Linked DNA regions of Ovis aries. The protein of the gene in region 2 purifies or fractionates together with the protein of the main gene of each other region. This does not show direct contact. Links are inferred from orthologs where the notes say so. Each region holds a gene or a part of one and is shown on either strand. Other genes may lie near its edges.

Region 1 (7,477 bases), on a different chromosome or scaffold from region 2:
AAAAACAGGAAATGTTTGGCCTGGAGTACTCAACATTAGGACTACTATGGCAGCCTTCAAAGAGCTGAAGAGCTGTCTTTGTAGCCCTAGAAAGAGTTCCTTAAGGAAAAAAAAAAAACCAAACCTCCAGAGGGTCAGATTTCATTTCAATGTTAGGAAGTTTCTCCACACACCCTCCCAAAACAACAAATAACAATTTGACCTCATGCTGTGTCTGCAAAGCTTGTTTGGTATTTGGCGAGGTGGAGCGGCAAGACACTGGGCCGCAGGACTGACTTCTAAGGGCTCTTGCAAGGCAGCCTATGACCAAGTTCTAAGGCCATGACAATAGGCAAAAGAGGTCCAAGAATGCTGCCCAATGCCCAGCACAGCAACACTAACAGTATCTGGACAGTACGTGTATGCTGAGCGAAGGAACAAGTAAAACGAGAAGTGAAAAGCCACAGGCTCTGGCAAACAGCTGCACTGGATGGAGTCAGGGCCAATTTGGAGCTGACCCTTACTGAGTATGTTAAACTTAAAGCCAGCTGATGGTAAAAAAATTAAAAGTTCTCTCTTTTAAAATGTTTACTGGCCAAAATAATCTCAGTAGATTACTGAGCTAAGATAAAAAGATCTGAAAATGCTGTGCTTCAAAATTATTATTTAAAGCAAACTGTCAATAAGTAAAAATAAATAAACGCTGTATTTAAGGGCAGTCTGTTCCTTTTTGATCACATTCCTTTCATGAATTTGCCTTTAAGGTGTTTTTAAAGTTGATATTAAATGATTCTATTTAGGTTATAGGCATATCATTAGTAAAGGACCTAAAATTTTGAAATTAGATTTTGAAATCGATTAGCTCTGTGTCAGAAACTACATTTTAAATAAGTTCTCTAGATGATTTTTTAACCACACCACACATTTTGAAAATCACTGCCTAGAATAAAAGTGTCAACTCAAGGAGGGCCTTGATCTTGAGGGTTTCTTGTTTAGAACACCCAGATTTCTACATAGCAGGCATTTCCCGATCAGTTCTTAGCTCAAATTTCACCTCCTCAGAGATGTCCTCCCAGTATCTCACCCCAACCACCAATTTATTTTCAGAGCAAATTTCCCCTTTAATTATTTTTTTTTCTTTTTTTAAAACTACAATCTTCTCCAGTCCAAAAGGAATACCACCATCCCAAGCACTTAAATGTCTGTCTTGATCTTCACTCTTATTCCTGATCCATGGATCCAGTCCCTGGTACAGAGATGTGCAATCAATATTTGATTTAGAAAACAATATCCCATATTAGAGTAGGGATTTCAATCCACCAGTGAATGCCTTTAAGTTCTTCACATAACTAACACCCAGGAAATATAATCCTTCAAGTTAAGTTCCACAAAAGTAGTTAAGTGCTTACAGTGTGAGAGAAAGGGAGAGAAAACTGTACAGGCATCACCCAGCGACGTGCTAGAAAAGCAGAATTCCAGGCATCACTTTTGACCTATGAATCAGAATCTGTATTTTCATAAGATCCTCAATGTGATTCACACCACATTCAAGATTGGAAAGCACTAAATTACAGAACAGCTGCAACCCTGGGGGCAAATTTTTTAAAAAGGTGTGACCAAGGTATTTTTACCACTAGTTCTATAAATAGTAATGTGGATGAAAAAGTCCAATAAATATTCTAATCACGTAAGCCTTGAAATGCAGCTAAAGAAAACTTTCATCTGGGAGGTCTCTCCTTGGGAAGGTGAAGGACATAGGATCAGTTACCTCATATGGCTGAAAGCAATCTTCCATCATTTTGAAACATAAGAAATTACAGCATTATCTTTAAAAGAAAAGAATGTTTTACTTTTACATCAAGCAAGATGGGGAACACTTACGTGAGGCCATAGGGTCTAGTCAAAAGTAGAGAATTCCAGAAAAACTCCCCAAATCTGGTTCTCCACCGGAATATCAAGAACTGTCCCTTTAATAACACACCGTCCCAGAAGCTCCCTGGTGGTCCAGGGGCTAACCCTCCCTGGGCTCCATCACTGGGCAGGGAACTAGATGCCTGCCACAACTAAGAGCCAGTGCAGCCAAATAAATAAATATTTAAATATATATATATTTACTTTCCCTGGTGTTTACTCACTTTTAAAACGGAGTTCTAATAAGACCTAGCTTTTAGAGATGCTGGGATGATTAAACGACATAAAGTACAAAGGCTTTTATTACAGTACCTTACATACAGGAGGCAATGCTCATCACTTTCCTAAATTTCCTAGAAGTTGTGGAAATCTCCCTCTCCTCGCCTCCACACTCTAACAAAAGAGGTGCCCAGTAACCAAATAAATGCAAAACGACAAAAAAGAACAGTGCTGCTCCTTTGTCTGCAGAGATACCAATTACTGTGGCGCCACCTTTAAAAATGCCTATTTTAAAATACCAGGAAGAGAAAATATTAAATGTGTATAGTGCAAAAGAAACAGGGCTACACTAGGGAATACATAAAAAGTTTGAGAAATCTACCTCCATCTGGGAAGAAGTAGTTTTCAATCACAAAAAAGGGACCAGTCCCTTAATGGGGAAGGGTTTCTCTTTTCCCGGGACCTCAATAATACACCTGTTGTGCGTGAGGGCCACACACTAACCTGAAAGGCTGCCTCCTCCCCGTCCCGGGTCATTTGCCAGGCGGGCACGTCGCCCGGCCAGCTCCAGGATGCCGCTCCTCTCCCCCGACTCTGTCGCTTCACTTGGGATACGAGACGAGGGGCTCGGGGCTGCTCTCCCAACTGCAAGGGGCATCTTGACCCCTCCTCCCACCTGCCCTGCACAATTCCTCCAACATAGGCAACGTGTCGGCGGCGCGCGGGGCCGGCGATCTGGCTAGGAGCACGTGCCGGTGTCCAGGAGCACACCGGGCAGTACGAGTCCCAGCTGGGTGAGCAGGGACGGCCCGAGGCAGGTCCGCCCACCTGGCGGCGGCCTTTTAGGTCAAGGGTGAGAATCCCAAGCATGAGTGGCTTCCCTGGAAATACAGCTTCATTAGAAATTAAATCCCCGCCCCGGCAGCTTAAATCGACGCGGGCTCATAACAACTCCCACCAAGGGGGTTGAAAGCCGTCCGGCCCACCCCAGGGCTCCAGGAATACTGCACGGATTAAACCCGGCCACCCCTTCTCCGCCTGGAATACCCAGAGGGGTGAGAGGAGGGCAGATAACAACGGATTCCTCCCAGAGTCCGAGCCGCCTCGCCCGGGCCAGCAAGCGGCCCCCCTAGTTTCAGCCCTCAAGCTCAGGCTCTCTCCTCAGGGACACCGCCCCCGTCCCCAGAAAAAAAGAAAGAAAAGAAAAGCTGCAGCCTGGAGAGCCGGTCGCAGGATTCTGGCTGGTCACCAATCTCCCGCCGGCCCCCAAGAAAGCGAAAAGTTGCCCACGCCGCCTAGACACTGGTGGTGGCTTGAATAGTTCCAGCGGAAGGAACAGATGGGCGGCTCCAAGCAGCCCCTCGACCCAGGAGGCAGGCTCCGAGCTGGCCGGGCGCGGCTCTCTTCGCCGCCCCGCGCCTCTCCGGCTGCCGCGAGTCCAAAGCCTGGAGCGAAACCGCCACCGAAACCACCGCGGGGCGTCCTCTCCCCGCGCCTCCCCTTCTAGACGGGGCACGGAGGGGCCTTGGGGCCCCCGGCGCCGCGCCCAGCTCTCACCTTCTCTCAGCGAACCAAACACGGCGGCAGCCCGGGCGTGCGCTCACCTGGAGGGCGCACCTGCCGCCTGGCAGAGAGGCTGCGCGCAGCCGGGACTCCGCCGGACACTGAGCCCTCCGCCTCCTCTCTCCCCTCCTCCCCCCGCCCACCCGGCCCGCCTGCCCCCCGGGCATGCGCACCAACCCCGGCCCGGGGGCGGAAAGTCCGCGGCCCGGCGCCCGCCAGCCCCACCTGCGGCTCCCCGCGCGGGCTCCTCGGCGTCCCGGCCACCTCTCCCCGGAGTCCCGCCGCCTCCGTCTGAAGAAGCAGAAAGGGGGAGGTGGACGCTACGGAGGAGGAGTGGTATGGCGGCCTCCACCCTCCGTGACCCATTCACCTGAAACTCCGATGGGAGGGGGAAGGGAGCGGTGCAAAAGGAGGCGGGAAGAACCGGCCCTTCTCCGCACACCCTGCGGCGTCCGGCCTTAAAGGAACAGCGCGGCGTTTCGGTCCGAGTGGGCGGGGAAGGAGAGCAGAGGGGTGGCGGGGGCTAGGGGCTCGGGCTCCCGGCTGGGGGAGAGTGGTCCCGGACCACCCTAGAAAGCTCTCGGAGCTCTTCGGGCACAACTGCGGAATGTTTGGCGAGTGAAATCTGGAGAGACTGTGCCTCCTGAAGTGTTCTAGGGTGCTCAGCACTTCGGCAAGAAAGACACGATCGGACACAAAAGTTTCCTGCTTCGAAAATTTTATTAAACTTTTGTTGGAAAGAAGCAGCTAGACGTGGGAGATTTTCACATGTCATGCGTAAATTTAGGAACTGCTTCTAAATCTCTGGATCGCTAAAAAGACTGTCACTCAAGAGTGGTTCAGTGAGGTTGGAAGTATTGTAGATACTGGTGATGGTAAGTTTGCCATCAAAATTAAGGGTATACTACGATTTACATTATTACCATTTCAGGGCCCTCTACTCCTCCTCCCCACGTTTAACTATGACAGGACCGAGAGTCTGCTATTCAGGGGTTTTAAACGATTTGAATATTTTCTTTGGTTTAAGGGTTAAAAAAAAAAAAAAAAGCTCTAGTTCTGTGTCTCTGTTCCATTTCTTCTGGGGGCTGTTCCCAAAGGAGTGTTAAGTTTAGGAAAATTCAGAGTCTGCACTTAACGATGTGTTCACTTATCTATACGTTGCATTAATGTGCTGCTGAATAGGGCAGTTTCAGTTCTTGCTATTTGAGTTCGTATCTGTTCAGTTCAGTTGAATCGCTCAGTCCTGTCTGACTCTTTGCGACCCCAAGAATCACAGCACTCCAGGCCTCCCTGTCCATCACCAACTCCCGGAGTTCACTCATACTCATGTCCATCGAGTCGGTGATGCCATCCAGCCATCTTATCCTATGTCGTCCCCTTCTCCTCCTGCCCCCAATCCCTCCCAGCATCAGAGTCTTTTCAAATGAGTCAACGCTTCGCAGGAGGTGGGCCAAAGTATTGGAGTTTCAACTTCAGCATCAATCCTTCCAATGAACACCCAGGACTGATCTCCTTTAGGACGGACTGGTTGGATCTCCTTGCAGTCCAAGGGACTCTCAAGAGTCTTCTCCAACACCACAGTTCAAAAGCATCAACTCTTCGGCGCTCAGCTTCTTCACAGTCCAACTCTCACATCCATACGTGACTACTGGAAAAACTATAGCCTTGACTAGACCGACCTTTGTTGGCAAAGGTTGGCAAATATCTCTGCTTTTCAATATACTATCTAGGCTGGTCATAACTTTCCTTCCAAGGAGTAAGCGTCTTTTAATTTCACGGATGCAGTCACCATCTGCAGTGATTTTGGAGCCCCCCAAAATAAAGTCTGACACTGTTTCCACTGTTTCCCCATCTGTTTCCCATGAAGTGATGGGACCAGATGCCATGATCTTCATTTTCTGAATGTTGAGCTCTAAGCCAACTTTTCCACTCTCCTCTTTCACTTTCATTAAGAGGCCTTTTAGTTCCTCTTCACTTTCTGCCATAAGGCTGGTGTCATCTGCATATCTGAGGTTGTTGATATTTCTCCCGGCAATCTTGATTCCAGCTTGTGCTTCTTCCAGCCCAGCGTTTCTCATGATGTCCTCTGCATATAAGTTAAATAAGCAGGGTGACAATATACAGCCTTGATGTACTCCTTTCCCTATTTGGAACCAGTCTGTTGTTCCACGTCCAGTTCTAACTGTTGCTTTCTGACCTGCATATAGGTTTCTCAGGAGGCAGGTCAGGTGGTCTGGTATTCCCATCTCTTGAAGAATTTTCCACAATTTATTGTGATCCACACAGCCAAAGTCTTTGGCATAGTCAATAAAGCAGAACTAGACCATTCAGGTATGACCTAAATCAAACCCCTTATTATTATACAGTGGAAGTGAGAAATAGATTTAAGGGACTAGATCTGATAGATAGAGTGCCTGATGAACTATGGACAGAAGTTCCTGACATTATACAGGAGATAAGGATCAAGACCATCCCCATGGAAAAGAAATGCAGAAAAGCAAAATGGCTGTCTGGGGAGGCCTTACAAATAGCTGTGAAAAGAAGAGAAGCAAAAAGCAAAGGAGAAAAGGAAAGATATAAGCATCTGAATGCAGGGTTCCAAAGAATAGCAAGGAGAGATAAGAAAGCCTTCCTCAGCAATCAATGCAAAGAAATAGAGGAAAACAACAGAATGGGAAAGAATAGAGATCTCTTCAAGAAAATTAGAGATACCAAGGGAACATTTCATGCAAAGGTGGGCTCAATAAAGGACAGAACTGGTATGGCCCTAACAGAAGCAGAAGATATTAAGAAGAGGTGGTGAGAATACACAGAACTGTACAAAAAGAGCTTCATGACCAAGATAATCACAATGGTGTGATCACTCACCTAGAGCCAGACATCCTGGAATGTGAAGTTAAGTGGGCCTTAGGAACCATCACTACGAACAAAGCTCGTGGAGGTGATGGATTTCCAGTTGAGCTATTTCAAATCCTGAAAGATGATGCTGTGAAAGTGCTGCACTCAATATGCCAGCAAATTGGGAAGACTCAGCAGTGGTCACAGGACTGGAAAAGGTCAGTTTTCATTCCAATTCCAAAGAAAGGCAATGCCAAAGAATGCTCAAACTACCACACAATTGTACTCATCTCACACACTAGTAAAGTAATGCTCAAAATTCTCCAAGCCAGGGTTCAGCAATACATGAACCGTGAACTTCCAGATGTTCAAGCTGGTTTTAGAAAATGCAGAGGAACCAGAGATCAAATTGCCAACATCCTCTGGATCATCAGAAAAGCAAGAGAGTTCCAAAAAAAAAACATCTATTTCTGCTTTATTGACTATGCCAAAACCTTTGAGTTCATATAGAAGGCTGGAATTTAGGTTTAAGTCCTGCTTCACTTTGTGTTCCAACCTGGAATGTCAGCATTGCTAATAAATTTCAGTCCAGTTCCACCCACTTCCCTGCCTCTAATTAAATGGTTAGAGCTGTGACTCTCCCATAAGTTAAATCTTAAGGCACAGTTCAACACTTAAGGAAGTAAAAGGGTTATATAAATATAAGGTATTAAAAGATGACAGCCTTAATGAGTAATTAATCTAATTGGTGTTTTTTGTGGAAGTCATTGTTACAATTACTACTGTATGACAAGGTAGTTTTTGAATGATGCAGTTTAAATTAGTATTGTTAACACTGGGAAAGTCAGGTTAATCCTCTTAAGGTTCCCTGTCAGATTACTGAAATCTCCAAACATTCCACTTGGTTTATAATTAAACAAGGGAACATTTCCTAATACTCTTACATTTATAAACACATGTCTGTTAT
Region 2 (6,860 bases):
GAGAATCAGAAGTGAATATTTTCTAAATTGCTCAAATTTTACTATCATTTGTCTGCATCTTCTGAGTTTCAGGACACACGTCTTCATTCAGCTTCACCAGCAAGCAAATGAAAAGTAATGTATACAACACAAATACAAAGGCAACACCCTGCTTATGTAAACCAGCCCCTGGAGCTCATGGCACCACAGGGGCAGTCAGAGCACTACAGCAGCAGCAGGGAGCCCACCCGTCTCCAGGAATTCTAATGAACCCAGCACACACACACACACACACACACACACACACAGAGCTATGTACTGGAGTGTTTACACCCAGCAAACAAACTGCACAGATTTATGCACCCTCTGTATTAGTAAAATATAAGTTTGAAACAAACTATAAAAACAAAGGCTAATCAAACCACAGACTTTTATAGAATAGATAATAAAATGAAAACATGAGTTACCCACTAAGAAGGAAAATGGAATATACACTTTTCTAAACAGTATGAAACCTCATAAAAGTATGAAGGGTGGGGAGGGTGGAGGAAAATACAACAAGGTAAAAATTGAGGGTGATGACGAATATGTCAAAACTAATTTTCTAATTTTTTCCAAATACAAAATGGTGTATTTCTAATTAGAAAAAAATGTTTTTAAAGTTTTTACATGTAAATTAAAGCAGGCCTAAGGGGTCGTATCTAAGTCTGTGGATTTAAACTACCATGGTGGTTAAAATAAGGAAACTGGAAGAATCTGCAAGCAAACCCTGTAAGGCATTTAGAGCACTGCTTCCTCAGCATCTGAACGTGGCATCTACACGTAACCCCAGAACACTGTAAATGTCTGCAGTGACCAACAGCATAACCATGCTGCTGTTACCTTCTGACACTGATATCTGAGTTCTCTATTTGCTTAATGGCTGAAAAAGCTGGGCTGGAGCCAGAAAGAGCTGGGTTCAGAGCCGAGTGAGTGACTTAACCGGTAGTCCTTGTGACGCCCCAACTGGGGAGGTGGGCGGTGCACCCAGCTTGCCTCGCTCAGGGTGAACATTCAACAACTGCCCTGGGATACTGTCAGGATTAAATGTGACTGTGGGCTGGGGGACAGGGACCTGGCAGAGTAAGGACACCATCCCTCAGGTTTCCCTCCAATTAAACACGTGGGGTCAGCGGCAAATTTTCACTTACAAAAGTGTTACTTCTATTAGGTGAATGGGTCAGATCTACCTTTAGAGGAGTAACTAGTAAAGAAGCACCCTCAACCCCACTGAAAGTCTGCATCGAGATCACTTACTTGCGATCTGGTAAATATCTGGCTCCTCTCTTGCCAGCTTCTCCCTGGCAACATCAGCTATTGGTCCAAAGATGGTTACAGGCCTCAGGAATCCAGCTGAGAAGATTCAGATAAAAAGAAGCACAGTTTATGCTTTATCTGTCTTAGGCAAACCGACATTAATATAGGCTGGTTGGCAGGAAACAGACTACCTTCTCGAAGAACCACCCTCTCATACGCCGGGAACTTGGTCTGGACTGGCTGGGCCGAAAGGTCTTCTCGGCTCTTGCGCAGGTTTCTCTTGGAGCTGCGCAGGCCACGGAACCTCCAGAAGTCGGCGCGGTCTCCCCCTGCTGTCTTAGGAAGTGTATACTGCACACTGGCTAACTGCTCAGCTCTACACAGGAGAATACAGAACAAAATGCACCAAGACTTGTGGTAGAACACAATGTCAAAACCCTGGACAGAACTTCACATGGACTGTAAACCTTAATGCTTACATTAAAGGAGTTTATAAAGCTAGGTCAGTCTTAGACATGGTGAGTACAGTGAAGACTCCCCGTGGGGCTGAAACCTTTTCCTCATTCCCTAACCTGCTCTGTGAGACACAGCGGAGCGCTCATACCTGTTCTTGTTTGGAATGATGCCACGTTCCACTTCCTTATGGTTTTTGCCAATCCGAATGGCGAGCCAGGAGCCCAGCTTCCCATTGTACAGAGTGTCCACAACACGGAACACCTCTCCTTTGTTAAAACTGAGTCCATAGGGAGATTCCTTCTCATATTCAAAATGGGTTCTAATATAGAAAGAATCACCCACATCGGATTCTACAATGCGACGATAAACTAAATGGAAATGAAATATAATCAATAATGAGTGGAGAAAGAAATTAATATGAATAGAATACATTAGGTGAAGATTCTATTGATAACGTTAGCAATGACAAAAACAACTGTATCCAACTAACAGCAGCTCCTTCCTAAATATTCTGTCTCTTGGGCATCACCGTGAGCTCATGGCACGGGTGACTCTCGGCAACCCCCTCCTGGATGAGGAAACTGCTGCAGACACCCAGCAGGCAACTTGTCCAGAGCCACACGTGCTTCCTGCTTCAGTCACCTAACAGTCCCGCCTCAGCCCTGCACAGACGCTCCTGCTAACTATGGCTCTCAAATGAGGGCAACCCGGTCCCCGTCAGGTGAGAGGGCTGGCACGCATGGAGACATTTCTGATAGCAGCAACCATGTGCTGGAAGAAGGTGTGTGTACAGACACCTAGTGAGCAGAGGGAGGACACCTCAAACAGCCTCAAGTGTTGATACACGGGACGGCCTTCACCACATTACTTGGTTCAAAACATCAACAGTGCCAAGCATGAGAGACCTTGTCTATTCTAAATGAAAAGTGCATCTTCTTAATCACAGAAAATTAGTCATTCTCTTGAAACTAATGCCAACAAACATCAGAGCATAATGCTTAGAAAACATCAATACAAAACTGAGAAGCTGCCCATGTACAGTTCTTTGTGGAAGAGTATACAATTTTCCCACAGATGGCACTCTAGCTTAAGCTGAAGCCCAGGGACTCTGGCTGGCCCATTACTGTGCTGTGCTCACAAGCACAGCGTTGAGACTGTGATGCTGTTTAGTCACTCAATCGTGTCTGACTCTCTGCGACCACATGGACTGTAGACCACCAGGCTCCTCCGTCCATGGGATTCTCCAGGCGACAATACTGGAGGGGGTGGCCATTTCCTCCTCCAGGCCCAGTGATCTTCCCGACCCAGTGATCGAAGCTGCATCTCCCAAACTGCCAGAATTCTTTACTACTGACCCACCATGGAGGCCCCACAGTGTAAAGGCTGTGTGCCCCTAAATGACAAAATCCGTGGCATTAACAAAGTCATTTATCACTCAGCTTTGAGTGATTTATTAAAAACATTAACATTAAAATTCCTTTTTAAGTAGTCCAGCACCTCCAGGTTTATTTTCTCACCTTCCTGAGAGTAACTTACCATCCTTCTTCTTCTGAGCCAATATGGTCACTTCTTCTCCTTTCGGGAGGTCAAGCAGGAAGAGGACAGCTTCTTCTCTTATGATATTTGTGAAGTCTACATTGTTTACCTGTTAAAACAACGTTTCACAAATTACTATTGGCCATATTTTAAGACGATAAAAACATTTAACTGCACAGGAAACAAGTATTTCTAGAGTTTATCTACTCTAGAAATATCACATCTCCAAAAGTGAAAATATTTATTTTTGGAGAAAAGACCCTAGTTTGTAACAAGCAGAAACCAAGTAAATAAAGTGAGTTAAAGTATAAACTCATTTAAACAGTGACAATGCCACACAATGTTAGAGATTATACACTGCAAATTCCAACCAGTTCCGACCAAGAAAGCCAACATCTACTTCCAATGACTCATTATTATAAAATCTCATGATTTAAACTTTGAAATTAAAGTCCAGACTGTGTAACAGAGCCCGACTTCTTAGGACTCTGAGAAGCAATCAGAAGGAAACGCGTGTGCGCTATGCTACCTCAGTGAGAGCATGTGTACACCACGGGCTCAGAGTCTGCCAGGCCAGGGCTCACTCGTATCAGACACCCCTGAGGACCTAACGTAAATGTCATGTGACTGTGTGCAGGGTAACAGGGAGACTTCCTTCTATTCATCTTCTGGAAATTTTCCACGTTAAGAGAAAATGTTTCAATAGGCAGTACCTTAATGATACAAAACAAAAATAAATAATGAGAAAATATTTTTAAATGACACATGATTACTTCAAACAGCATATGGAGAGGGTAAGAGAATAGGTCTACTTAATTATCAATGTTGTATCTGAGAAAATAGAAACATTGTCAATACAACATCAAGTGGAAATCAGCCAGGCTGAGCCAATGAATGCCCTGACCTCCTTCCATGCGAGTATGAAGGGGAAGGGGGACCGGGGGGCCGCCACAGCCTGAGGGAGCTCACCCCACGCTCGGAGGACGGTTTCTGACTGCGAGCTGCTGCCTCAAGTGACCAAACCCAGCATGGAGACAGGGAAGCAACAGTAAAGAAGGGGTTGCTGAACATGCGCCAGGTTTTCAGATGAATGATTATAAGAAGGTGGTGGGAAAAGAACTCAAACATTTATCCAGTAGGAGGGCCAGAATGACAGCATTATGGACTCCAAAGAAGAAAGTAATTACTTAAGGTTAAAACAGGAGTAAGAAATACAGAAAAACGAGGGCTGAAGATGCCATCGGGTTGGTGGTGCCTCATGGAAACCCACCCTGAGCCGTGGCGAAGGTGGCAGGCAGGCCGCACGGCCTCATGACACAAGCAGGCAGGGAAGGGCGCCACCTTATCTGCAAGTGCAACAGCCGGAGGAGAAAGACAACAGAAGGCAGAAGAGGAACCAACAGGCAGGGAAAGAGAGTTCAGAACAGAGCAGTCAGACTCTGGGGCAGGAGGAAGGAAAAAGAGAGCAGAGCAGAGGTGAGGCGGGAACTCCCACTTAAGAGCTGGTCCTCCGACTAGAATGGGATGCAGTACATCCAGCAGGAGGTTTGGATATTTTAAAAAGAGAGGAGATGAATAAAGATGGTACTATGTTACTAGGTAACATTGCTTATGGAAAAGAAACAAAAACACAAAGAGCCCACTGGCACACTGCATCTAAGCTGGGCTTTCCTAGACTCTCATCCTTGTGGATGTGAAACTTCAGAACAAGAGCGGCTTACACATGTACCCAGTGGACACCTGTCTTGGCACACCTGAGCCATCACTGGGTAAAGGGGGGCCACAGGCTGCATACCTGTGCTGCCCTGCTGGCAGGCTGGGGCCCACAGCAGAGTCCAGCCAGCAGGAATGCTCAGCTGAACTGCAGATAACTGGGAGACACTGTGAGCTCCAAGACTTGGTTTTTCCACATTCTACAGATATGAGTGATTAAAATGAAACCAAAGCCACATACTGTGCAGACACACCTAACATAGACGTGAGCAGAGGCAGGAAGGGGAGACCTGATGGAGCCCCACGTTCTTTCACACAGATTACAAGCTCATCATAACAGATCTGCTATGTCTGAGGCCTTGCTCTGGAGACCTAAGTATCTGAAGCCATGTGAGTTGATCATGGACATACCCTGAGGATCTGGTCGCCCTCCTCCAAGCCTTCTTTGGCAGCAGGGCTGTCTTCGAGAACACCAGCTACAAATATGCCAACATCGTTTCCACCAGCTAGCCGAAGACCCACACTATCTCCTTTCCTGAATTTTACTAACTTCATGCTGGGCCTGTTAAAACAAGTATTTCATTTGAATGAGTTAAGCTTAAACAGTTACAGCAAACTGCTATAATGAAAACCATATTTAGAATAAAACAAAGGACCATCATATCTGAAATTTCCCCCACACCACTAATTTACTTAATAAAATTTAGCATTAGAACTCAAAATCAGATTTAATAGCACTTTAATTCTAATTAACAAAAATAAGTTCTGAAATATCCAAATGTAATATGTTAGTACTGTTTTACATAATAACTGTAAAATTACTCCATGAAAACATGTTTTCCCAACTCTTGACTCTTTGATACATATATATTAACAATGGCTAAAAACTGTTCCATTTTTCCCATCCCAGTTCATATCATATCATCTCTACCGAATAACTGAGAAGTCCTACTGTACAAAGGTAGAAACTGAAGTGTATACTGACAAATTTCCCTAATACCAGGAGTCAAAATCAAGCTCTAGGCACTGCGCCTGACAGACAGTGCTTTTCAAGCTCCACAGCCAGGGGCTCTTGCAGTAGCTCACACAGATTACTTGCTCTGAGGCCCCTTTGAACTTTAAACCAAAATGCTCACCACCCACCCTTTCTGGATGAGCCCATGTTAATCTCTTCATGCTGGAAAGAATGGAGCAGAACTAATGAAGACACATTAATTCCTCTACTATCAGTGCAGGGTCAAAACTCCTGACACTCCTGAAACAAATACTAAGAATGCCACAGAAGAATGGCTACTAGTAACTACAGATTACCCTTTTGGGTAATTAATAACAAATTACGTACATAGTTACCAATTACCCTTCTAGGTTTCCATAGCCATCCCACATTCGGAGACAAGAAGACACAAGTCTTTTACACCTATCTGGACATGAAATGTAGAAAAGTTCTTTTAAAGTAACAGTGAACAAATAAGTTGAAGTTAGTAGTAACTAAAAACACACATCAACCAATGAATGAATGAGCTGAGGAGACAGAGACTGATGCCTACTTCTTTAAACCAACTAAAGACTACCTTGGCTTTTAGGACTTGATCTGCTTTCTTCACATGAGCTAACCATGAACTGGGCAGAAACCTGAGAGCATGTAGATCAGACAAGGTCACTTACTGCTGGGGCTGGTGGCACAGGAGGTCCCCCGAATCTAAGGATCATGGACGGTGAGCCCCTTGCTTGTGGTGGAATCTACTTTTCCACCTGCATCAAGAGCCTCCTCTCCCAAAGTCAACTATCCAGAGAGCTCTTTAAGCACCCCCTTAAAGTCCATAAGATTCCGGGGCCCTACGTCCTCTCTAAACACTGACCAACCTAGAGCACCTCAAAAG

Evidence for each region. The genes of interacting proteins can lie anywhere in the genome.
Region 1: the proteins of TJP1 (region 2) and OCLN purify together in Homo sapiens (affinity purification with western blotting; 4 studies listed by BioGRID and IntAct, with this or other methods). This does not show direct contact. The link is inferred for Ovis aries from reciprocal best matches to the Homo sapiens genes TJP1 and OCLN.

What each region holds. Positions count from the first base shown.
Region 1 is NC_056069.1:10,386,788-10,394,264, forward strand, and holds the start of OCLN (occludin), read right to left. Parts: upstream 4,053-7,477; 5' UTR 3,898-4,052; intron 3,776-3,897; exon of another isoform or gene 3,667-3,775; intron 2,841-3,666; exon of another isoform or gene 2,614-2,840; intron 1-2,613. UniProt on the Homo sapiens protein: May play a role in the formation and regulation of the tight junction (TJ) paracellular permeability barrier.
Region 2 is NC_056071.1:26,250,818-26,257,677, forward strand, and holds part of TJP1 (tight junction protein ZO-1), read right to left. Parts: intron 5,543-6,860; coding exon 5,392-5,542; intron 3,377-5,391; coding exon 3,268-3,376; intron 2,100-3,267; coding exon 1,880-2,099; intron 1,652-1,879; coding exon 1,467-1,651; intron 1,372-1,466; coding exon 1,276-1,371; intron 1-1,275. UniProt on the Homo sapiens protein: TJP1, TJP2, and TJP3 are closely related scaffolding proteins that link tight junction (TJ) transmembrane proteins such as claudins, junctional adhesion molecules, and occludin to the actin cytoskeleton.